Tamandua tetradactyla: one gene and its partner. The protein of the gene in region 2 interacts with the protein of the main gene of each other region in a biochemical or structural test. Links are inferred from orthologs where the notes say so. Each region holds a gene or a part of one and is shown on either strand. Other genes may lie near its edges. The genes, in order: MITF and PIAS3.

What was found.
Region 1: the proteins of PIAS3 (region 2) and MITF form a complex in vitro, tested with the Homo sapiens proteins (2 studies listed by BioGRID). The link is inferred for Tamandua tetradactyla from reciprocal best matches to the Homo sapiens genes PIAS3 and MITF.

What each region holds. Positions count from the first base shown.
Region 1 is NC_135341.1:14,358,810-14,371,262, reverse strand, and holds the start of MITF (microphthalmia-associated transcription factor), read left to right. Parts: upstream 1-6,550; 5' UTR 6,551-6,711; coding exon 6,712-6,815; intron 6,816-12,453. UniProt on the Homo sapiens protein: Transcription factor that acts as a master regulator of melanocyte survival and differentiation as well as melanosome biogenesis.
Region 2 is NC_135330.1:1,343,710-1,356,142, forward strand, and holds the start of PIAS3 (E3 SUMO-protein ligase PIAS3), read right to left. Parts: upstream 6,370-12,433; 5' UTR 6,290-6,369; coding exon 6,266-6,289; intron 4,218-6,265; coding exon 3,800-4,217; intron 3,699-3,799; coding exon 3,614-3,698; intron 3,467-3,613; coding exon 3,383-3,466; intron 3,155-3,382; coding exon 3,064-3,154; intron 2,587-3,063; coding exon 2,452-2,586; intron 2,275-2,451; coding exon 2,169-2,274; intron 1,801-2,168; coding exon 1,727-1,800; intron 1,653-1,726; coding exon 1,492-1,652; intron 1,049-1,491; coding exon 915-1,048; intron 839-914; coding exon 673-838; intron 513-672; coding exon 379-512; intron 276-378; coding exon 238-275; intron 1-237. Other genes in the region: ANKRD35 (ankyrin repeat domain-containing protein 35), read right to left, coding at 11,707-11,769, 12,350-12,415. UniProt on the Homo sapiens protein: Functions as an E3-type small ubiquitin-like modifier (SUMO) ligase, stabilizing the interaction between UBE2I and the substrate, and as a SUMO-tethering factor.

The DNA of each region.
Region 1 (12,453 bases), on a different chromosome or scaffold from region 2:
CTAAACCTAAAGAGTGGGGTCACCTTTTTTTTTTTCAGGTAAGTGTTCTCCATACTGTTCACTCCTGGGTTCATTAGCACTTATTTTGTTTCAAATAACAGAGACAAAAGTTGATTTAAGTTTTAAAAAGAAGGAGGTGGGGAGATTTTGTGGTTTCTGTACACTGAACTCATTGCTGCCAGGCTGAAAAATAGAGATTTTATATTTTTTAGTCTCTAAAGTAGTGAGAGAAAGAAGATACCAAATGCCTTTTGGGTGGCCAGCTTCCCTTGCAGTTAGGGCTTGGGCACAAAATCTAGATCAGTCAATCAAATCAAGCCTGGATGTTGAACTGGAAGATAAAGTGGTGAAGTAGTTGGGACACTGCCGATTCCATTCTGGTGGTGGGTGGTTGTGGTTGTAACTAGTTCCCAGAGGCAACGTTTTTGACAGCGTCTAGTGTCTTTTGTCAGAGTGTTTAAATGTGGTGCAGTGGTGGCACTCATGTGCCTTCACTAGATCAGTTCTGTGGAATGGCTTTTGGAGTTGTTCCTAGCTGCATGGCTTCTACACTAGGTTCTGGTCTTTCTTCATTCTCAGGTCTTTCTTGAGATTCTGTGAGCTATTCAACATATTTTCCATAAATTCCTTTCTGCTTAAATCATCCAAAGACAATTTCTGTTAGTTTTGTTCTCAGAACATAACATGTACAACCCTGCTTCCATAGCTTCCTCATGTCCATTTTCTTTCTTTTTTTTAATGACATGCTTTTCAACATAATTTTATCAGAAATTCTGCCTCATTTTTACTAAGGTGGTTTCTTCTCATGCTTTTTTTTTTCATAACGGAAAATTTCAAACATACACAAAAGCAGAGAGAATAATACAGTGAACTTCCATTACCCATCATTCAGCTTCAACCAGTATCCACATTTTGCCATTTATGTTTCATCTTTTCCTTCCCCTACTATTTCCTGAGTTGAAAGGAGAGGAGATGGGTCCATATATCCTATTGTCTCACTCACAAATACATTGTTTCTATCTCTAACAGATAAAGACTTAAGGTCCAATAGAAATGGTACAATGCTATTATTACACTTAGTAAAATTAACAATAATTCTATAATATCATCATTTCAGTTCATGTTCAAACTCTCCCAGTTTTCCCAAAAATGAAGCATTAAGTTGTTTTGTTTTAATCAGAATACAAAGTTTGCACAATATATTTGGGTGATATGTCTCTTTTCTTTCTTCAGTTCATTTTTTGCTGAGATGTAATTCACATACCTGACATGTCTCTCACATCTCCTTTTTTTTTGTATGCTGTATAGCGGGGTCACATTTCATTCTTTTTCCATGTGAGTATTCCATTATTGTAGCATCATTTGTTGAATTTTGTTTGTTTTTTTGGTTGGTTTCTTTGTTTGTTAGTTTGGCAAGTGCATGGGTGGGAATCGAACCCAGGTGTCCTGCATGGCAGGCGAGAATTCTACCACTGAGCTACCCTCACAGCCCCCTCTTAAATCTCTTTTAATCTATAACAGTTCCCTTTCCCTTTACTTCATGTCATTTTTATTTTTTAAAGGAGCTTCTCAATTTCTGGATTTGTCTGATTTCATCTTCAGGGTGTCATTAGCAACCCCCTATCATTATTTTTTCCTCTAAATTGTTGGTTGGGTCTAGTGACTTGATTAGATTATTTACAGGATTTTATCCACTAAATTACCCCCTCCCTTCTTAAAGATTTAGCTCAGTTACATCTCCTTCAAGAATTCTTCCTCACTATCCTTGCCCTCAGTGGTTGCTTTTTTCTCAGACATTTGTGACATTACCTTTCACTCTATTTATCTGTTAGATCACTCCTATTCCTGAAAAGACAGACATTATGTCTTGTATGCAGAGACCACATATGTCTCATCACTGCCTTTTCCCTCGTATCTAACAAACAATGTGCCTGGCACAGAATAGGTGCTCCATTAATAGTGGGTAAGCTAAATGGATATGAGAGTTTGAATCATCTACCATCTATGTGCTGCTTAGCATTTCCTGCCTTAAGTGTAGTTTTTCACTGTGTTATCAGTCTTCATTCAGTTCATAGACTGTAAGCCTCTTAAGGGCAGGAAGTAGTTTGAGTACCTAACACAATGCCATGTCCAGAACATGGGGCACATGTTCATTGCATAATGAAACAGTGACCTTTGGTGTCTATTCTCGCAGGATTTTTGTGAGCTCAAATAAGAGATGAATGCGAAAAGCATTCTGTAGAAAGAAAAGTGTAACATAAATATAGATAATATTACCAATGAAAATACTTATAATTTCTAGCTGTTCCTTTTGTGCTTTTAATAGGCACAGTTCTCAGTTGAAATGAATAGAGCTATGGACTTTTTTCTTCACCAGTTTTCAGATGTGGCCCTGCTCCTAGGGTTCAATGCATTAATGAAGAGGGATTACAGGTGCTATCGATCAGGTGACCAGCTTTTTGTTACATGGATTGACGGTGTGGCAGTCCATAGAAAAATGTTCCTTTCAAGGAGTGAAAGGTTTTTTATACGAAGTACTCAAAGCTCTTTTGGTTGCAAGTGGCAAAATTTCCAACAAAAACATTTTCGGCCAAAAGGGATTTTGTTTTGGTCTATATATCTGAAAAGTTGAGCGATATCTGACTTCAGGTATGGTTGGAACAAGGCGTAGAAGCAATGTTATAGTAATTTCTCTTTATTTCTCAGTGTTCTAGTTTGCTAGCTGCTGGAATGCAATATACCAGAAATAGAATGGCTTTTAAAAAGGGGAATTTAATAAATTGCTAGTTTACAGTTCTAAGGCCAAGAAAATGCTCCAAGTGCAAGTCTATAGAAATGTCCAACCAAAGACATCCATCCAGGGAAAAATACCTTGGTTCAAGAAGGCCGATGAAGTTTAGGGTTTCTCTCTCAAGTGAGAAGGCACATGGCGACACAGTCAGGGCTTCTCTCTCAGCTGGAAGGGCACATGGCGAACCGGCGTCATCTGCTAGCTTTCTCTTCTGGCTTCTGGCTTCATGAAGCTCCCTGGGAGGTGTTTTCCTTCTTCATTTCCAAAGGTCACTGGCTGGTGGACTCTCTGCTTCGTGGTGCTGTAGCATTCTCTGCTCTCTTTGAATCTCCCATGCTCCAAAATGTTTCCTCTTTTATAGGACTCCAATAAACCAATCAAGACCCACCCAAATGGGTGGAGACATGTCATCACCTAATCCAGTTTAACGACCACTCTTGACTAAATCACATCTTCCAGGGAGATGATCTGATTACAGTTTCAAACATACAATATTGAATAGAGATTATTCTGCCTTTATGAATGGGATTTTGATTAAAATATGGCTTTTCTAGGGGGCATACATCCTTTCAAACCAGCACACTCAGTTTAGCTTGTTTCTGCTGCTCTTTGATTGTGGATCTCATCTAATTCTTTCCCATTTTAGGTTAGCTACCTTATGTGGTCATAGTAAATAGTTCCAGGCTTTCTTCCTTCCAGCACCATACTTCCAAAAGCCAGAGACAGGCTTCCCCAATTGCCTAGCAGAAAAGTCCCAAGGAAGACATCTGGTAATGTTTGGGTACCTGTCCATCTCTAAAAGAATCATGTGGTTAAGGAAATGGGGAGTTCTGACTGGCCAGTGGGAGTCTCATGCCCACTCCTCTTAGGTGGTAGATGGCACTGCAATCGAAACCCCTGCTACATGTAATGGAGAAGTTTTCTTGAACAGAGGAAAAAAATGGAGGGAAATAGCAGGTATCTGTGTGTGCCTCAAGACAACCTCAGAGCCTGCACCCCAGGCATCTCTATGGAGGGTGCCCCTAGTTGGAGGTAAATTCAGGAAGTCTCAGCATTTTTGACAGGTTTTTCTCCATCACCTCTTGTTCCTTAGGTCTGGTAGGCCACTGTTCAACATAATGAATGACGTAATGGAATGTTTCATTATGCTTCTAAAGAGGTTATAAGCTGCACTTCTAATGCAAAGCTCTCGATAGCTTTCAAGTATTCAACAGACCAAAATCAAGTATAGAATTTTGTTTACATTTGTGTTTTCTCCAGAGAGGATGCATAGCTTTCCTCAGATTCAAAAGCTTCTAGTGAGCCAAAAGATTAAGAAATCCACAATATTTCTCAATGGGGGTACCACTAACATTTGAACAAGAAAGTTCGTCATTGTGCGCAAAATGTTTAGCATTTCTGGCCCATATCCCACTAGAATGCCTGTGATACCCCCAAGTTATTTTGACAATCAACCCTTCCTCCCATATTCCACATGTCTGTCTAGAGTTGAGACCCCAGGTGAGTCTAGGAGTCCAGATAGACTGAATGGACCCTTCATGTTTTTCCTTCTTCTTCCTTCTGGCAGGGGATAACACTTCTTCACTTTCAACATCTGACTTCCAGGAGTCTCTCAAAGAATCAGAGATCCCATATTCATGGGCATGAAAAGCCTATTTTCCTCAGGAGTGCTTTGAAGTATTCTGTCATGTTTTAATGGTTATAGTGAAGGACCTAAAAGTAGTACTTTGGGCACCAAATTTTATTGTGGGAATTTGGAAATCGCTACTGCAATACAGTATACCTTCTGTACTATTTCCAAATTTCCTTAAGATCCCTAGAGATCTTTTCTGATTTGAAGCTAAAATGTTCATTACACAAAAAAAGCAGGTACTCTCTGTTAACTCTGCAGGTAAATTTACTGCTCTCATCCCTATGTGGGACATGACTCCCAGTGGTATAAATCTCCCTGGCAATGTGGGACCTGACTCCCAGGAATGAGCCTGGCCCTGGCATCATGGGACTGAGAAAGACTGCTAGGCCAAAAAGGGAAAGAGAAATGAAACAAAATAAAGTTTTGGTGGCTGAGTGATTTCAAACAGAGGCAAGAGGTCATTCTGAAGATTATTCTTATGCGCTTATAGATATCCCTTTTCAGTTTTTGGTGTATTGGAGTAGCTAGAGGGAAATGCCTGAACTATAATCTGTAGCCTTGATTCTTGAAGATGACTGCATAACTATATAACTTTAACGGTGTGACTGTGTGACTGACACTCTCTTTATCCAGTGTATGGACAGGAGAGTAAGAAAATAAAGACAAAATATAAATAAATAATAGGGGAGATGGGATGTTTTGGGTGTTCTTTTTCATTTTTATTTTTATTCCTATTTTTATTGTTCATAGAGTAATGAAACTGTTCAAAAATCAAGTGTGATGATGAGTACACAACTATATGATAATATTGTGAACCACTGACGGTATAGTTTGGCTCATTATATGGTATGTGAATATATCTCAATAAAATTGCATTAAAAAAAAAACAACAACAGGCAAATGGGCAACTCCTGGGAGATGACCAATCATTAGTCTAGACTTTTTACAGTTTTGTTCTATGATGATCATAAGCTCATTACCTCTGAAAGGAGAAATACACAGGTGAAATGCCAGACTGAGATAAATGTCTTCAAGATATAATGAACGAAAGAAAGATCACTGAGTATTATTTTTATAGATTACAAAATCACTTTCTCTTGCAAATCTCCTCGTTTATAGAAGAAGAAATTGAAGCTTCTAAAATCAAGTGACATGCCCAAGATCACACAGTGTTTCTGAGCAGGACTTGGGATTTGATTCTGGTTTTTTAACTTTAGATGCCATCCTCTAACTCTATACTGCCTGTCTAATGCATTAAAACACTTTTAAAAATAAGGAACATCTCCTACTAGAACTACTCAGAGGGAAGCGCTGAAAGTACAAATGAACCGTAATCGATTGAAATTTTTTTTTTAATGTTACCTGAGTGTAGAGAAGTTCAGGAGGAGGTTGACACTTGGACGGTTTATATAGCCCACAACTTTATTCTTGAAATGTTATTACGATCTCATTTGAGTTCCCAGACAACGGAGAAATTAAAAACAGACAGCGCCAACGCTGTTTTGCAACTTAGTGCTTTCTTAAATCAACCGGACTTTAAAAGTGCTGCTTTAAGATTATAAGTGGATAACTGGATAAAGAGGAAAACAGCTAGATGAATAATATTCTAAAAGCCCAGACCAAGCTAAAAAAAAAAGAACGCATGAGAACAATTTCTACAATAATGCTTTAATTACTAGGTGAAAGTTCCTCACTCTGTTCCAATCCGAGGACAAGTTGACATGTCGCAGCAGCCCATGGAAGTCTGCGGGCTGATAGGAAGTTCTTTTATTAAAGGCAAGCTTGAACGCTAAAACTTCCTAGTGCCAAAACTTTTTGACGTCTCCTCGCACATGTCTGAGCTGTGGAAGAGCAGGGATGAAACCGTTCTTATTAATATAAAATAGTCAATTATGTACCCTTGAAGCAAATGGGAAAAGGGAGAGGAGCTGCTGACATTGACAATGAATCCAAACAGGAGTTGCACTAGCGGTGTCCACCACGTTGCCTATCCACCCGCCTGGCCTTGTGGGAGCTGTAGTTTCAGCTGGAGCAGCTCCCTCCGCGAGGCCGGAATGCCCCACCCGGGTCGAACTACAGATCCCAGACAGCGCTCGGCTGCCGGCCCCTCCCGCCCGAGTGCGAGTGTAAACTCACAGAGCCCTGGCGGGCGGCCGCGCGGGTAAGCGGGCTGAGCTTGGCACTGTGCCGGGGCGCACCGCTCAGGGGACCCAGGCCCTGCCACCTTCCTTGAGCCCCCTGGCTCAGTTCTTACTTTCGAACTGTGGAAGGACGAGAAACGGGAGCCATGCAGTCAGAATCCGGGATCGTGCCGGATTTCGAAGTCGGGGAGGAGTTTCACGAAGAGCCGAAAACCTATTACGAACTCAAAAGTCAGCCTCTGAAGAGCAGGTGAGTAGTGACAGCTGGAGGGAGGCACGGCGGGCGGCTGGGGGGTCCCGCGCCTCCCATCCTGGGCCAGAGACAGCTAGTTGCCCGGGCTCTCGGACAAGGACCCCGTGCCCTTGCCCCCAGGCAGAGGGCGAACTACCCCTCGCAGCTGGGGCCGCGCCATCCCGGCCCGTGCGCATCTGGGGATCGGTGCGAGCGCACTCTGAGGGGCGCCGTGGGTCGCCGGGGACGACGGGGGTCACGGGGACCCTCGATAGGGGATGTCAGCTGCTGTAACCAATTGGGGGCTGGGGAGAGACCCGCACGGAGGTGGGGGAGGAGGAGCGCGGGGTCGGGACACTGCTCCGGGGAAAGGGGGTGAAGAGGGGGTGCAGTTTCTAGTGAAACCCTTTTCTGAAGATCCTCGTGGGCCGATTGCTGGGAAAGGGAGATTTTGAGATAGATTGAGACGCCACGGTCGGGGGAAGCAATTAGCTTGTCGGTTCTTAGGGAGACTGGCCTCTCTCTCGGAGGAACCCGCCCCTGGCGAGTCTGGGAGAGTTTTCCCGGGGCCCCGCCTCTCACCTACCTGATCCGCTGCGCAGAGAGCCAAAGAGGCTGGGGGCAGCAGGTGGGCGTGTCTAGGTTAAACTCACTGGAAGTCTCGTCCATATCCAGGCCTTCCCTGGAGAACAAAAAGCCTTAGGCCTGGGACATAGTGGGGGTGTCTCCTGCCTGGCACCAGCACCCATTTACTTTGCTGTGGACTTCAGAAACTTCAGAAGGAGAGTGAAGATACCTGGTTGGCCTGGCTTCTCACCACCTCTGATGCCCACTTCCTTTGCGCCGCCCTCCTTTACTATGTCCATTACCACTTGCCAGTTGGAATGGGTTGGGTATTTTCCTTTTTGTATGCCCTGTGGCTGTTGCGGACCCCTTGGACCTCTCATTTCTGTTGTTTACTGAGAGGAAGTATGGTCAGTTGAGGCTATGAGAGCAGAGAAGAATTTATTTCCACCTCCCCCAACTCAATTGCGTGATAAGACTGGAAGCTTTTAATTGAGCTTCTGCGCTCATCTCAGACCTTGCTGTCCAGCCCTTAACTCTGGGTAGGGCCTGGGTGAATGGGCCTGGTTGGTAGACCGGGAAGAAAGTTGGAAATCAGGGTAAATGAGGAAGGGAAACTAAATCAGGAGCGAGAAGGTATAACCTTCACATTGGGAGAGCACATTCTGGTACTTGGTTTTGCAGATGCTGAAGCAGCCTCTTTGCAAATGCTTACGGGAGATTGGAAGGAAATGTCCTATGCAGTTAGGAGGATAAAACCAGCCTTTAGTTGGTGGTTTCTCTTCATAATGGCTGTTTTGTGTGTGTTGGGGGCTGGGGGTTTTGGGTTATATTGTGTAAAGGGTATTGTTGCTTATGCTCATTGGGGCTTTATCTGCATCTGCCTAAAGGGACCAGTGTTTTAGCAAGCGAGCGCTCCCCGCTTTTGCTTCTATAAGCAAATGCTTACATGGCCACAATGAGGGAGTATGCGTGCGTGTGTGGGGGGAGTTCTAAAAAAAAATGAATTAACTGGACTCTTTGGAACATTTTTGATGATAGCTGATACATAACATTAAATTAATTTGAGAGAGTGAGGAAAACGCCATCTGGAAAAACACAAATGAGTGGCATGAAACTCATGGTGAAGGATTTGGGCCTGTTCTTTTTCAGAGTCGGCAGAAATTTATGTGTAAGGGTGAACATCATCGTAGCTAGCTAGCTTGTGTAAAGAAAATTGTGGGGATGTGGGAAGAAATGGCTTCACACGTTGAAGCTAGAAACAGGTGTGGGACAGAACCGGTATGGAGAGAAAGGCTAAATTAAAAAAGTTGTTGCAAAACTTGTGTGTGGAGCAGACACATGCTATTTGAAATAAACCAGTTAAATAAAATCTGCGAATAAATATATGGGGTTGGCAAAATTTCCCTATACTGTTTTCCACAGTTTTCTAACGTATTGTCATCGACATCTGTTGTGTCACTTTGAAAGGGCTATACGTTGTTCAGGATCTTGTTATTGCTTTTTGTCTTAAATCTTTGCTGGGGTGCCTCACTTCTTATAAGTCTTGGTCAGGAAAAATGTTGAAACTAAAACATTAACATTGCTGTAGCCATTGTGTCTATCTCAATTATTGTATTCTCCGGACTGAATCTCCAGATTCCCCCAGGAGTTGAAAATGCCTAGAATCTGCCCACTTCTCCACCAACTCCTCTTCTACCCCGTGGTCCTCACCACCATTAGCCCTCTCCTGGATTCTTGCAGGAGTCCCTTAATTGGTGTACTGCCTTCTGCCCTTACCTGCTTTTAGTGGATTTTCAACACAGCAGCCGCAATGTTCCTGTTAAAACTGATTTCCCCCGGGGACAGATTTGCCTCCCAGGGAACATTTGACAAAGTCTGGAGACAGTTTTGGTTGTCACTACTGGGGATATGGGAGTTAATGGCCTCTAGTGGGTAGTGGCTAAGAATGCTGCTAGATGTCCTACAATGCAGCGCCTCCCCACAGCACCCCATCCCCGTCCCCAACAAAGAATTAATCAGCCCCAAATGTCAGTAGTGCCTAGAGTAAGAAACCCTATGTTAAAACATAAGCAGGATCTTATCATTCTCTGTTCAAACTCTTCCAATGACTCCTTGTTTCTCTCAGATAGACTCAAAGTCCTTAACATGGCATAAGACAGGCTATATATATGGTCAGGCTCCATGTCAGCTCTGGCCTTATTTGTTATTACAGTTTTCCTTGCCGTTCCTGGAACACAGGCCCTTTCATCTCTGTCTTTGTACTTTGTATTTGCTGTTCCCTCTGCCTGGAATGTCCTTTCCTCAGAGAGTCACAGTGCTCACTCCCTCACCAATTTCAAGTTTTTCTGTGAATGTCATTCCTTTTAGGCCTGCGCCGACCTTGCTGTTTGCAACTGCTTTCTCCAAACTCTCAATCTTGCTTATGCTGCTCTGTTATTTTCCGTAGTACTTATAGTCTAACCTACTATATAATTTTCTAATATGTTACGATTATTATGTTTCTCTCCACTAGATGCAAGCTCCAAGGGAACAGGGATTTCTGTGTGTTGCTTGTTCACTGCTGTAGCCGCAGAGTGTAGTTTTTCAGTCTCAGCTCTATTGACAGTTTGGGTTGGATAAGCTTTTGTTCCGGGGGTCTGTCCTGTGCATCGTAGGATGTTTAGCGGCAGTCCCTAGGCTCTTCCTTACTAGAGGTTAGTAGCACCCATTCCCCCCAGTCGTGACAACCAAAAATATCTCCAGACCGCCAAAAACGGGAGGTAATTGCTCCTGTTTCACAACCACAGGCCTAGAACAATGCTTGGCACAGAGAATGGGCTCAATAGATATTTGTTATTTAAATATGTTGTTTCTTTCTCCTTTAGTAACTCCACCCAGGATAACAAGTTTTTGTTTTTTTTGTTTTTTGTACATTCAACATTGTGTTCCTTTTAAAATTGATATCCATTGGGTCTCTCATAAGAGGACTTTATATGCTGTTTATCTGGGCTAAGCTCAGATATCAAATGTTTAAGAGGAAAGGCGTATTTCATTCCTAACCCAGACCTCCTGGACTTTCGGGACATGAGGGTGCTGGATTTAGATTATGTGAGCTCTGCTTTGGACCTGTTGACTAGCGAGGTTGTGTCCTGTGAGGACACATGCTATGAGAAAAGCCTCTAAGGGAGAATTGCTTGTACTTTGGTTCCCCCAGTGAGGTTTTTGAAGTTTGCGTGTGATCTCCTGGAAATGAGTTCTGAATGGTGGATGACAGAAGAAAAATGCAGACTATGGAGAGTGAACCCAGAACTGACATGTCGGCACGTTCAGGGACACACATTTGGAGCTGTTGAATGAACTCCTGGCAGCTAAGGAACCCTGTGCATCATCTTTTGGGCCCTAAAACAACATTTTAAAACGTGGTTGCATCTTTAAGCTTCATGGTCCTTTGGTTTGTTTTTCTTAGTGCTAAACTCTATGGCTTTGTCGTTGCGGATGCCCTTTTCCTGGACAGTCTTCAGAATTGGCTATATTTAATCGCAAATTCTTCTCTTTTGAAATGTTTAATGCTGCTTTAGACAATTGTTATTTAACTTCCTGCAAGCCAGAAATGGGAATGAAAAATGAATATTAGGCTTGCAATATTCCAGAGAGGATAGAGCAGTGGCTCCCAAATGCTGATTCATAGAGAGGTGTGTGGTTTTCACAGATTTGTGGTGAAATGCGAAAGATAAAGACTGTTGTGTCATAACCACACGCATATTTGGATGTAAGGCTACCTGCCATTTCTCAGATTTATTCTGAGATTTCACCCTCTTTGTTCATATTAAAAATATCCTTTCTTTTTGAAATAATACTTTGTTCTTGGCAAAACAAAACTGTCAGTCTTGTTTTGGTTTCTGAAACTTCTCATGATTTTTCTGGTCCAATCTGAAGTGATTAAGACAGAGATTAAGAGCAAGGTTCTGGCTGGCTGTGTGCTTAGGGTCTGGCTAGGAGAATTTGGAGAGGCTGGGTGGCCTCTAATTTCAGTTCTTTCATCTGGCATATGGATTCGTAGGGCCATCAATTGTCACACTGACTGTGGAATAGTTTTAGCATAGTGCCTGCTATATAGTATGTGCTCAGTAAATGTTACTGGCTGTTGTTGTTTTTGTTATTTTCATTGCTACTCAGCAACGAGTCCTGACATTTTGGAAAATGACATTGTTCTCTAAGTCCAGTTTTCCTATGCAATAAAATTCCCTCAATTTTAGTAAACTTTTTTACTTTCCTCCAAATGAGGATGTTTAGATTGAATTCTGTAATTTTTATTTTTGATCCAATCCGTAAAACTTCTTTTATGCTGGATAAAAAAATAGCCATCATGACATCAGTGCCTAAAAATTCATATTTGACACACATTTATTGAGTTCTAGTATATGCAAATTAATACTTATTATGACAGTTAACATTTATTGAGCATACATTGTATGTCAGACCCTGTTCGTAGAGTTTTTTACTTGCGTTAACTTAATCTTTGCAATGAAGTAATATTAATAATAAAATATTAATGATACTCATTCTATTTTAAAAACAGGCACAGGCTTACTATGTGCCAAATATTGTTCTAAGTATTTTACTTAATTAACTCGTTTAATTCTCATGTCAACCTTGAGTATATGTACTTTTATTATTCTCATTTTACACATAAAGAAACTGAAATATGGCACGTAGATGGTACCTGGATTCAAACAGGCAGTCTGGCTCCAGCTTCATACTGTTGTCCCCTAGTCTTTGCTGCTGTGTAGAAGGCACTGTGCATGATTGTGGGAAATCCAAAGGTGCATCATACTGTACTTTTTTTCCAAAACTCCCAGTGGGGTAAGCGAAAGACAACACTTGGATCCAGCTAATCATACAAGGCAGAGTGTGATCACTGTAGGGATGTGTACATCAGCAGTGGGAATTTAATAAAGGAAAAAGGATGTTGGGAGGCATTTTTACGCAAGATTAGCTGTGTTTGAGTTTGGTCTTGAAGATTGAGTGATACCTCAAACATGTTTCTCTATAGCACTCAATAAAATATTAGACACCTTGGGGAAGGACATAATCTTTTTTTTTTTTAATT
Region 2 (12,433 bases):
CTCTCTGCAGCCCCCGGCACTCCCTCCGTCCCTCCCCCCTCCCACCATCCCTCCAGCCTGGAGCAACCCCCAGTCTGCCAGGCCCGCGGCCCTGCAACCCTGTGCCGGGGTGGGGACAGGGGCTTCCCTAAGCCCGGCCCGAAAGGAGAGGGGGCGCTGCCTCTCCCCCCTAGCAGAGAGGCCGACTCGGCTCCGGGAGTGGGAGCGGGAGGGGCCCCAGAGGCGGGGGACACCCACCTGGCTCTCGGTGTGCAGAAAAGAAAACAGGTCCAGGCCTGGAGGGAGAGAGAGTCTGGGTCACCCTCTGGCCTGCCCTTCGGGGACAAGGAGACGGGGGGGGGGGGACGGCGGGACAGGCCGTCCGGGCAGGCCACGTACCTTGGCCCTCGGCCCCTAGCGGGAAGGCAGGCGGGCACTCGGGCAGCGGGAGATGCGCCAGCAGCTCAGCGCCCAGCGCGCCCAGCGCAGGACAGCGCAGCACCGACGGCGGCCGCGGGCCCGCAGACACGGCCCTGCGCGAGAGGAGGGGCTGGGCCGCCGCAAGCACCTCGCCCGCCCCCGCCCCCGCCCCCGCCCTCAGACACCGCCCCCTCCCCAGCCTGTCTGCCCCCGACTCGTCCGCGGCCCCCGCCCCCGCCGCCCACCCTCCCACCCCCTGGCCGCGGTCCCCACCCTTTGCTGGCAGGCGGGGGCGGGACGGCGGCGGGGGGCACAGGACGGTGCTTCTTGGCCGGGGGCAGGTCCTCCTCCTCCGAGCTGTCAGTGGTCAGGTCGATGACCTCCACCTTCCTCCTGCTCCCGGGCGCGCTTCCCTCCAGCACGGGGCTGTGCTGGCGGCCTGGGGGGCAGGGGCCGGGCCTCAGAGAGGGGGCCACTCACGGCTCAGCTCAGCCGGGGGACAGGGGGTCACTCACCATCCAGCCCAAACCCTGGCGGGGGGCAAACCTCAGACGCCTCCTTCCTGGGCTTCATTGGGCACCAGGACCCATCCTCCCTGAACTGGATCTCATCACAGTCCGAGCAGGAGTCCAGGATCTCCACGAACAGGCTGGAGGGGACAAGGGCATCAGGGCCGGGAGGGGCCACAGCAGCCTCAGCTCTGCCGGCTCCCCGGGGTCTGGCGCCCTCATTCGCACAGCAGGACGCCATCCACCCACTGCCCTCCTGCTGTGCCCTTAAGCGTGTAAAAGAGCTCTGGAAACTGCTTTGGAAAAAAATGAAACAAAACATAAAGCCTGATGTGCCAAAGTGCTAGGCTTTAAAATGAATGCATGCTGGTGTATCATGGCCCTCGAGGTGGTGAGTTTACACACACACACACAACGCTGGTGTACTATCATCCTCCAGATGGTGTCTGCACACACACACTCACAGGTGGAGGATAGGGTGCGCGCTGGGTTCCCGTGAGGAGTATGTGCTGCACCCATCGTACGCAGGCACACGCACCTGTGCGAGGCAGCCGTGCCCAGCCGGGTGAGCAGAGCTACCTACCCGTCGATGATCAGAGCTTCATAGGGGGCCTTCTTGTCACACACGGGGCACGTCCAGGTGGGCTTCTTCTCGTTCATCTGCAGGTAGAGTGCAGCGTCGAAGCTCTGCAGGTGGGCGCAGGTGAGGGCGCGGCAGGGCACGGACAGGCGCATCTTCCCCAGCTGGAGGGCGGGGGTCCAGGTCAGCCTCGGCACCTGCGCAGCCCTGCCCCAGGTCCCCACGAGTCCCTGCTCACCGGGCACATTAGGGACACCCGCAGGCTGGTGGTGGCCACCTCACTGTCAGGGTCAGCGGTCAGTTTCTCCTTGACTGGAAGAGGAGCCAAGTCAGAGCAATGGAGTCAGCAAATGGACAGCGGGCCTGGAGAGGGACAGACGGCCGCGGGGCAGCCCGGGGGAGCTTAGGGCAGCACGCAGGGTCCTGATCAGGAGGAGACCCCCCCCTTACGGGTACATGGGCAGAGCTGGGGGACGCCTAGGCCGAGGTGACCTACAGGGGATCAGAGCGTCCCTAAGGGCCAGCTGAGACGGCCGCGAGGGCACGTGCCCGGCAGGCCTGGGTTTAGGGTCCATGAGGAGCTGCCGTAAGGCCGCAGGGCAGGGCAGGGTGAGGCGGGTGACAGCAAGTACGGGCCGAGAGGCGCCGTGGGGTCCAGGGTCAGGCCGCACGTCGCTCACTCAGCGCCCGCGAGTGGTCGGGGTTCCGCACGCCCTTGGCTCTGAGCTTCTGCAGCAATGTCCCCGCAGTCAGCTGCCGCACCAGGTGCACGGACAGGGAGTAGTTCTGCCCCGGGTGGCAGGAGAGCGGCCATCAGCCTCCGCGCTCCGCAAAGCCACCCGAGCCCCGTCAGGCAGACCCGGGGCTGAGACGGAGAAACCAGAGGGCGGGACGCACCCCCCAGCCAGGACATGGGGGCCCCTGCTGTGTGTGCCCAGCACCACCAAGCCTCCCCGGGCTCACCCGTCCAAACTCGGACGACCAGTTCACCACCACCGTGTTGGGGACAGTGGCTGAGAGCCGGGCCAGGCCAGTGATGTTGATGGGGCGGCTGGGTCTCTTGGGCTCAGCCCCGTTTTTGGTGGGCGGGAGGTAGCCCTGCGGAAGGACGGCGGGTCAGGGGAGGGTGGGCAGGCTGGGGTCCATCCAGGAAGGGGCTCTGCGCTAACACTAGACACAGCTTGTCTTGGGCCACCTGTCCCCTGGAAGGTGACCGGCCCGTGCACTGACCCCAGGCTGTGGGCTGTGGGAGGCAGAGCTCCACCACCGGGCAGAGGGACAGAAATCCTCCCCCCGTGCCTCGAGGCTGCAGGGCCCTGCATGGTGGGCCAAGGGAACCCCATGGACCCCACCCAGCCCCGTCCTGGCGCCCTCCCGGCAATGCCGACGGGCCCAGGAAACGGCGCCCACAGCGCACAGGCCTGTCTGATGTGTCTCCCTCTCACAGATGTCGCGACAGTAGGGCCATGGCCCCCTCCCCGCAGCCACCCTGACCCTGCTGGTGCAGTATACAGAGGCGAGCAGTCGGCACGTGCGGACGGGACGGGGAGGGGTTGCTGCCAGGGGAGCACTTACCGGCAGGGGACACAGCTTCCCGTTGACCTTCACAAAGAGGTTGGGAGGGAAATAGTCCTCCTGGGGGCAGCTGGTCTCGCAGAGACAGAACCTGGGGACAGGCGGGGAGGTGAAAGGGAGCCAGGTCTGTCACTGAACCTGGGAGAGACCAGGGAACCCCAGAAAATAGGTCATGTGGCCTCTGCAGCCTTGGCTCCCAGCTGCCCAGGGCTGGGGGACACAGGCTGGGCAGGAGTATGTCCTGGGCATGTATCCTGCCCCTGCACTCCCCCGGGCGTGTCCCACCCTCCGCAGGGCCAGGTGGGGCCGGGGCACTCACCTCAGCTGCACCTGGATGCTGTAATCACACTTGGCTCCCGGGAGAACCTCCCTGGAAGAGAGGGCGAGAGTCAGCCTGCGGCGCCTAGGGGCAGGGGCCAAGGGACGGGGCGTGGAGTTAGAAGTCCGGTTCCAGGAAGAGATACACAAGAGAGAGAGACAGCAGGGTCCAGAGGAGAGGAAAGAGGAAAAGGGCTGAGCCCGCCCCGAGGGGGAGGCCAGAGGGCCATACCTGGATGTGACGATCTGCTGCACCTGCTGGGGGGTGAGGGCAAAGGTGAAGTGCGCCTCCTCAAACCGCTGGCTGCACGTGGACGCTGGGGGCATGAGGGGCAGTTATCTCCAGGCCCGAGCACAGGCAGCGGACCCCTCGGGGCTGGAGCCTAGGACCAGGGGGCTGGGGGGCAGGGTGCCCTACCAAGGGTGCTGGGCCGGATGAGCTCTGCGTAGACCTCATAGAAGGGCAGCGGCTTCATGGTGACGTCGGGGTGCACAGGCTGGGGCGGAGGGGGGGGGATGTCCACCTCGTGCTTGGGGCCCAGCAGGGGGCCAGGGGCCAGGAGGGCAGGGGGCATGGGAGCCAGGGGCCCGGGGGAGCCCACAGGCGGGGTGCCAGGGGGCAGCGGGAGCAGGGGGAGGTCGGAGGACCCCAGGGCCTTGCGGGGAAAGCGGCGGCGGTAGAGCTCCTTGATCTTCATCTGGATGCTGGGGGCGCAGCTGGCCCTGAGCAGGAGCAGGGCCTTGGCCAGGAGCTCGTGCTTGCGCCCGCTCTTGTTGCGGCCGGCGAAGCCGAGGAGCACCTGGAGCTCGGACACCCGGAAACTCATCACCATGTGCTGCGGGGACAGAGGCCCTGAGATCGCCAGCCCGCGGGCCTGTCCCCTTGGGACACTGCGATGGCTCCTGGGTGGGCACTGCCACCTCCCTTCAGCCCTGACTCAAGGTCTGGCCACTGGCAGGCTGTGGCCGGCAGCTTGGCCAAGGGGATCGCTCAGTCCCAGGTCAGCAGCCCCCGCTCAACCCACCGTGCCGAACCAGCGTGAGGGGCCTTGTCACCCCAGACCTGGAAATGACCGGGGGGACGGGTGGCAGAGCCACTGCATGCCCCACCTCCAGCCTCTGCCCCTGAAGCTCCCCCTGAGCTGATGTCCCCCCTGCTGCTGCTCGGACTCTCAGACCCATCCCGGCCTCCTGGAAGGAGGCTGGAGACAGGGAGGAGGAGAGAGGGAACTCAGGCCCGAGAGCCCCGGAAGCCCCAGGAGGGGGGCCAGCAGCCGGACAGCTGCGCCCAGTACCCGTCCCCCTCAGTGACTGGCCCAGGGCTCTGAGCTTTGTAGTCAGGGCTTCAGGTCGGGAATCGATGCTCCCCCAAATCCTACCCCAGCAGAACCTGCTCTGAGAAACAGGATGAAACTTGGGGAGAGGGTCACAGTGAACCACAGGACCCAGTGACCTATTACTCCATCTGCCAGCAGCTATCGTCCTGCTTCTCTTGGGTGCCTTCCCTGTCCCCACCCTCAGGGGTACAAGAGGCCCCCGCAAAGCCCTAAACAGGCCCCGGGACCCTGAGAAAACACATGACACCCAAGCAGGAGCAAACTCACAAGCACCCGGTGGTAGGACCCCAACCCTGCTGGCACTTCCCAGGGGACCAACCCAAAGGGGAAAAACACAAAACCTGGAGGCCGACGGCTGGACCCAAGCTAGGTTTGGCTGGACCCAAGCTAAGGTTTGGCAAGCTGGCCTCCTCGGGGCGACCAGGCAGCACTAAGGGCTCTCTCCTTAAAGGACGCCTTCCCTGAGTCTCAAAGGGGCTCTCCACGGTTCCTCCATCCCGGGATGGCAGACGCAGGCCTGGGCCCCTTCGGGGAAATGTGCTGAGAACCGCGCTCCTGCCCCCTTCTCCCCAGCCTGCCCAGCTCGGTCCTGTTCGCCAAGCCCGTGGCCTCCCCTCCTCCCCGCCCACCCTCTGGGTCCTGGTCTCCGGGACGCTGCCGCCCCTCCGCCTACGGGCAGCTCCCAGGGCGCGGATCCGCCGAGCTCCTACCCGCGGTCCACATCCCCGAGGGGCCTCCCGAGGTCTGCCCCAGGCCACCCCGCACACCTCGTACCCGCGGGCCCTGCTCAGGCCCTCCCCGCTAGAGCCCGACTCCACGCTGCAGCCGGCCCGCGCTCGGCCCGCAGCGGCGCCCCGGGCCGCACCCCGCATATGCCCGAGGCCCCGGCCCCGCAGCGGCGCCCCCAGCTGCACCCCGCATCTGCCCGAGGCCCCGCCCCCCGCGCCCCGGCCCCGCAGCGGCGCCCCCGACCGCACCCCGCATCTGCCCGCGGCCCCGCCCCCCCGCGCCCCGGCCCCGCAGCGGCGCCCCCGACCGCACCCCGCATCTGCCCGCGGCCCCGCCCCCTGCGCCCCGGCCCCGCAGCGGCGCCCCCGGCCGCACTCCGCATCTGCCCGGGCCCCCGCAGCGGCGCCCCCCGCCCCTCCCCGCATCTGCCTGCGGCCCCGCCCCCTGCGCCCGGGCCCCGCAACGGCGCCCCCGGCCGCACCCCGCATCTGCCCGGGACCCCGCCCCCTGCGCCCCGGCCCCGCAACGGCGCCCCCGGCCGCACCCCACATCTGCCCGGGACCCCGCAGCGGCGCCCCCGGCCGCACCCCGCATCTGCCCGCGGCCCCGCCCCCTGCGCCCCGGCCCCGCAACGGCGCCCCCGGCCCCTCCCCGCATCTGCCCGCGGCCCCGCCCCCGGGCCGCGCCGCCGCCCGCCCGGCCCGCAGCCCTTCCCGCGCGCCCAGCAGCCCGCCGCGCCCCCGCCCCGCCCCCGCCCCGCAGCGGCGCCCGGCCTCGGCTGCCGCCCGGCTGGGCCCCACGGGGGGGAGGGGCCGCACCTTTAGCTCGCCCAGCTCCGCCATCTTGAGACATCGCCGAGCCCAGCCCGAGCTCAGGCCCAGGGACCGGCGCGCAACTCCCCGCCCCGGCGCCCGCCGCAGACGCCGCCCGCCCCGCCCCGCCCGCGCGGCTCCGCGCCTCCCCCCAGGCCCCGCCCGCGCGCCGACCGGCCCCGGCCCCGGCCCCTGCGGGTGCGCGCGACGGGCGGCCCGGGGGATCGCGGGGAAGGGCGCGCTGGGGGAGCGAGCCTGTCACCCCGGGGGAACCGGGGGCAGGGGGCAGGGGCAGGGGCTAGGGGAAGGGAAGGGGCAGGGGCGTTGGGGCAGGGGCGTTGGGGCGGCAGCTCGCCGGAAGGCGGAGAGGCAGCGGCAGAGGTGGGGCGAAGAGCCCGTAGCCAACGCCCCCGCCCGGGAGCCTCTGCTCCACAAGACGGCCGTCCGGCCCCGCGCCCCGGCCACGCTGCGGCCACGCTGCAGCCACGGACTCACACTCCGCAGCCAAAAAGTTGGCGCCGAGAACGGGACTTACCAGCTCGTCCGGAGCGGGCGGGGGCGGGGGGCGCCGCTCCCGCCGTAGGCAGGGCCGGGGCTCCGCGGGGCAGCTGGACGCGCGGCCACAGCCCGCAGCTCGGCCCGGCCCAGCGCGGGGCCAGGGGCCGCCCCTGCAGGGTCAGCGGGCCCGGGCCGCGCGAGGGGCCGGGCCCTGGGCTGGGCGGGGCCAGGGCGGGCTGTGGTGGGCCGGGCCCAGGCCTGGCGGGCGGGGCCGGGCCCTGGACTGGGCGGGGCCGGGGCGGGCTGTGGTGGGCCGGGCCTAGGCCTGGTGGGCGGGGCCTGGCCCTGGACTGGGCGGGGCCGGGGCGGGCTGTGGTGGGCCGGGCCTGGGCCGGGCCTAGGCCTGGTGGGCGGGGCCGGGGCGGGATGTGGTGGGCGGGGCCTAGGCCTGGCGGGCGGGGCCGGGCCTAGTGGGCGCTGCACTCGGGCACCAGGAGAGGTGGAAAGGTGGCGAGGCGGCTCTTCCATCTCCCCCTCTCGCCGTCTCTGGCCCCTCGCGCGCGGCCTTGCAGGGGCGGCCTTCCAGATGAGACGGGGCGGACGGGGTGCGACCGCAGGAACGCTTACTGCTTGGTGTGCTGCGCTCCCTCCGTCTGGAAACACCGGGTTTCCGAATTCACTGTGCCCGGCCCTAGGTCCACAACGCGTGCCCCCCTTACCCCCAGATACACACTTGGACACCAGAGACCCCACACCGAGGTGTAGCTGAGGGCGGGTCTTTCTGACCCTCTCTGAACCATCTCCTCTTCTTCCCCGAGGCCGGCCCCTTCGGAGGTCCCATTCTTAGCCCAGCTGGTAACTCCTGTGAAGGCCACAGAGCAAATCGGTGGAGCCAGAGACAGGGAAACTGAGGGCACTTTAGAGTTGGCCGGGGCCGAAGTCATGTTGCCATTGCGCTCAGTGACTATTTGAGTGGTGTTCAGGGTTTATTAGGTGCTGAGGACACAAAAGCCTTGCCAGAGAGACAAGACATGTTAAACCAGTCATCAGCAAGCAAGAAAAGCATTTCAGTGATGTATATGAGCAGCCCCTCATTCTGCTCAAGCCGCCAGTATATCCCTTCCTAGGAGCCCCTCCCCCAGCCATATGACCGAGGGGCAGCCTGCAATAGCCCTAGGGGCCTGCTGGACGCTGGTTGTGTCCTTGGGGGAGGTGTCCAGCCCCTCCTGACACGCGGGCTCCTTCCTTGGTCATGGGCCGCTCAAGCTAAATGCAGGCTAAGAATTTGCTTCTAAGTCCCAGCTGCCTTCCCCAACATGCAAGTCTTCACCTGGTCCTTTGCCCATTTTTGGTTTGGTCCAGTTCTTTACGTCAGAAACGTCTAAAGATCAGTATTTTCTAGAATTTCCAGTGGTTGCTGGAGGGGGCAGGACAGGGGAGCCTTTGGGAAGGATGGAACTGTTGTTGACCTTGATTATGGAGATGGTTTCACGGTTATAGGTTATACACATATGTCAAAACCATCAAATTGTACACTTTGGATAGCTATGGTTATTGTATGTCAATTCTACCGCAAAAATACTGCAAACGTTTAAAAGAAGGCTAGAAAGTCAACCTCACCTTGATTTCCAGGGATTTCATGACAAAAGCACCTCTCCTTTAAAGGTTAAGTTGAGGTTGTAAGTTCCACATCCCTACAGGATAAGGCAGCTGGGAGCCAGGCACCCGAATCAGGTCCTGCCTGCAATTCCACAGGTACAGACACCTTTTCCATGCTCTTCCTGCTGAACCCACTGCCTGGCAAGTGGTGGGCTCTTTAAATACCTGTGGACAAGCTAATGTCCCAGGGAAAGGAGAGAGGCTGCAAATCAGGTTCAAGTTCCAGATCACAGACATCAAAGACATAGTCCGAACCCCCTGATGGGGCTTCACCTCCAGGTCCCCTGCACTTCCCTTCACACTTTTACATCTGGGGACCGGCCTGGGCGGGGGGGTGGACCAGGAGTAATAATTCCCTACCAAGTTCCCTCAAACATCCATCCTGGGAGGAATAAGAGGAGACGTTAGGATTAGAATGACTTTGTGAGAGAAGGATTTTTGAAATCAAGGAAACTTCCAGGAGTTGTTGGATGGTAGAGAGGGAGTTTACGTGGGAAGATCGGAGGCTGGAGAAAGCCCTACCGTGGTGTTAGCGTAACCTCCCTCACCTCCCCACAGTCCAGACGCCCAGGCGTTAGCTTCCAGGGCCCGGGAAGGAGCCAGACGCCTGGCTTCCATTCCCTAAGCTGTTTCTTGACTCATACAGAAGTTTAGCCATTTCTCTGCGGTTTCTTCGTGCTTCCCACCCCATACCCCATGTAAAATAAGGAATATAACAGTGCTTTTGCATCCTTTGGTAACTCAGCAGTCAGGAAAGTAGAGGTTCTGTTCCCCTTATTAGAAGTGACCGGCCCCTTCTGATGCTTTTCCGGTGACAGCTGCACCCTTTCTCCCCTTCTCCAAATTCTAAGACTTTTCTTTCGGTCCACACCTCCTATCTTAGTTTATACGTTATCACATCTAACCATAACCATTTAACATGATTTCCAGCCGATCCGCCTCTCTCCGTTCTCCTGCCCCACCCACACAAACTCCCAAGCTGACCTGCACCTTTTCTAGAACCTGACCCACATACCCCAGCTCTTCTCTTCCTGGCCAAGCCCTGGAGGAGCCTCTGCAACCCTGGCATGGCCCATCCCCATGGCTGTCCCTCCCCTCCTCTCTCAACCCAGCCGCTCAGGCTCAGCTCCTGCACAGAATGGTCCAAAACTGAAGCCTCGGAGTAAAACTATTCAAAAAACAAGTTATTTTCCCACCACCTCACATAGTCCCTACCTCCCGTTTGCTTTCACCCTACTTTCCTGCTTGTCTCAGTCCCCACCTGGAGCTGGGGCTTCTAGAAGCTTGATTGGTAGAGAGGCGACGTGGTCTCTGCTGCCCTGAGGGGGCGCCCAGAGGGAGCAGGGGGCGGGCAGGGGGCACGTGGGAGGCGGGAGGGCTTGGGAGGGCGGAACTGCAATCCCATGTTGGAGGCCCTCGCTGCCTCCTCTCACTGGAGCCTGCCTCGTGGAGGGATGGGGAGGGGGGAACCCCTGGGGAAGGGACCAAAAGAGATTTGGTTTTACAGTCTGAGAACAGCACCGGAGAGAAGACGCCAACTCTTGGGGTCCCTTCCTCCCTTTCCCAGTACTCAGACTTGTCCCTCTTTGCACCTGGGGTGAAGACAGTGACTGTAAAAAATAAACTCTCAAGTCTAGACACATGGTCTCTCACAAAATAGAATAATTTTAGTTTGTACGTCTTGAAGAAAATCTACATCTCTCAATCCCTTAAAAAAGTTCATAGACTGTGTGATTGTGAAAACCTTGTGTCTGGCACTTTTATCCACCTTATTTACAGATGAGTAAAACATACGGATTAAAAATAAATAAATAATAGGGGGAAATGTTAAAATAAATTTAGTAGATTGAAATGCTAGTGAGCAATGAAAGGGAGTGGTAAAGGGTACGGTATGTAAGAATTTTTTTGTTTTCTCCTTATTTCTTTTTCTGAATTGATGCAAATGTTCTAAGAAATGATCATGATGATGAATATGCAACTATCATCAGCAAATATGTGATGATATTGTGAGTTATTGATTATATATCAAGAACAGAATAATCATATGGTAAGAATGTTGGTGTTTGTATGTTGTTATGTTTAATTAAAAAAAAAGAAAGATCACAGACTCGGAGTCCCAAAGTAGAGAAGAAGGATGGCACTGTGCTCGTAAGGGACAGATCTCAGACCAGAAGGGAAGTCCATCAAGCCCCATTTTTGCTGAGAACTCTGTTGTTCAAACTAGTGGGTGGATCGTGATGAACTTTTTTTTTTTTATAATAGCAGAAGATATAGGCTAGGATACAAATAGAATTAGAAATTATAAGGGTAAGTTTTATTTCAGATTCATACGAACAGGATGTAAAACATATTTCTTACTGTGGACTCTAATCATAGTTGGAAAGCCGCAAGAGACCATTTGTGATCAAAAGGGAATGACAAGACCCTTCCACGGTCCCCTCAGGACACAAAGAAACAACCCCCAGCACCGCCTGCCTCTTGCTCATTTTTCACAGAGCAGTTTCCAACCCCTCCTTTGTCCCATCCGTACTGATTCCCGGGTCCAGACTCTCGAGTCTGTGATTTCAGGTGATGCCCTGTCCCCGCTGACCTGGGGAGCGCCCCCGCCACCCCCCCTCCACCCCCACCACACTGGGGAGTGCCCCCCCATCCACCCCCAGGGAGCACCCTCCATCCATCTCTGGGGAGCATCAGCACCATCCGCCCCCCATCTGCCCCCCCCCCCCCGCCCTGGGGAGCGCCCCCACCTCCCATCTGCCCCAGCCTGGCGGGGCCTCGGGCAATTGGGGATGCTCCTGTTTCCTGAAAGAAGAAATTGGAGAATAAGATGCACAATTTCCACGTCTCCAGTCTCCTCCCGCCCATGCCGAGAAGCCAAGGGGATGCTCATCCCTCGGGGCTGGAGGAGACGACCCCCTGTGCGGGGGAGGAGAGTGGAGGGGGGTCAATGTCTGGACGCAGGTGTGGGCGTGAGGGGAGGCTCGGCAAACCGGGGACCAGTTCGCACTATTCTCCCACCATCACTCACCCCAGCACTGGGGAAGTCACCCAACCCCATCCCATGCGTCAGCCCCGCTCTGTCCACCTGCTCACCTGACCCTAATGCCCCCGTGCTTCCCTGGGTGTCCTCAACTGACCTCGCCTCACATGCCCATGGCCCCCGCAGCAGGCAGAGGCACAGGGACTGCAGTTCCCTTCCCCCGGGACATCTCCAAGTCCTTCCTCCCAAACCCCTTCCCCCCTCAGCCCACAACTCACAACAGAGGAATCCCACGCCCGCACCAGGTGGCTCAGTCCTCCTGCATGCTGAGGATTCGCAGCAAGATGTCGTACACGTCCCGCTCCATGCAGCCCTGGGGACGCCGGGAGGAAGGAACAGGAGGTGAAGGGCCGAGAATGGGGAGGACGAGGAGGAAGGGGTTCTAGGGCAGAGCAGAATGCCGTTCACGAGCTATGTGCCCGCCCTCACAGAAGTTAACTTCTCCATGACTGACGCCTTAGTGTCACAAGGAAAATAACGCTGCCCCCTTCCAGGGCTGCCGTGGGGGCCACACACTGCTGCCATGGACTGGCATGCAGGATGTAAAGCATACGAAGCACCTGGTACACAACAGGCATTTCATTCTTTGTGGTCATTCTTAGACCTGATAAAGGAGCGAGCCGCCCACCTCTGCTTCCTTGATGGGGGTGTGCTGACCTAGGACAGAACTCGGAACAGAAAGGAAAAGGTCTTGCTGTGGACCAGGGATTGAAAGGAAGGGTAAGCACCTCTCCCTGCACGGCCACGCGTGACCGCCCTGCCCTGCCTCGTGGCCCTGGACCACGGGAGGTGCAGCTGGCCGAGAAGTGACAGTGACACATGCGGAGAAAGACCAAGACCTTGCAGGGAACAGCCCAGCTCCCTGCCTGCCCCCGGTGCTGCGCCATGCTCACCCGAGCAGCGTTCAGGAGGTGAGTCCTGTAGGCAGATGTGATCTCCTCGTGGCTCTTCTGGGAGTCCTGGGGGGGGGGGGGGCA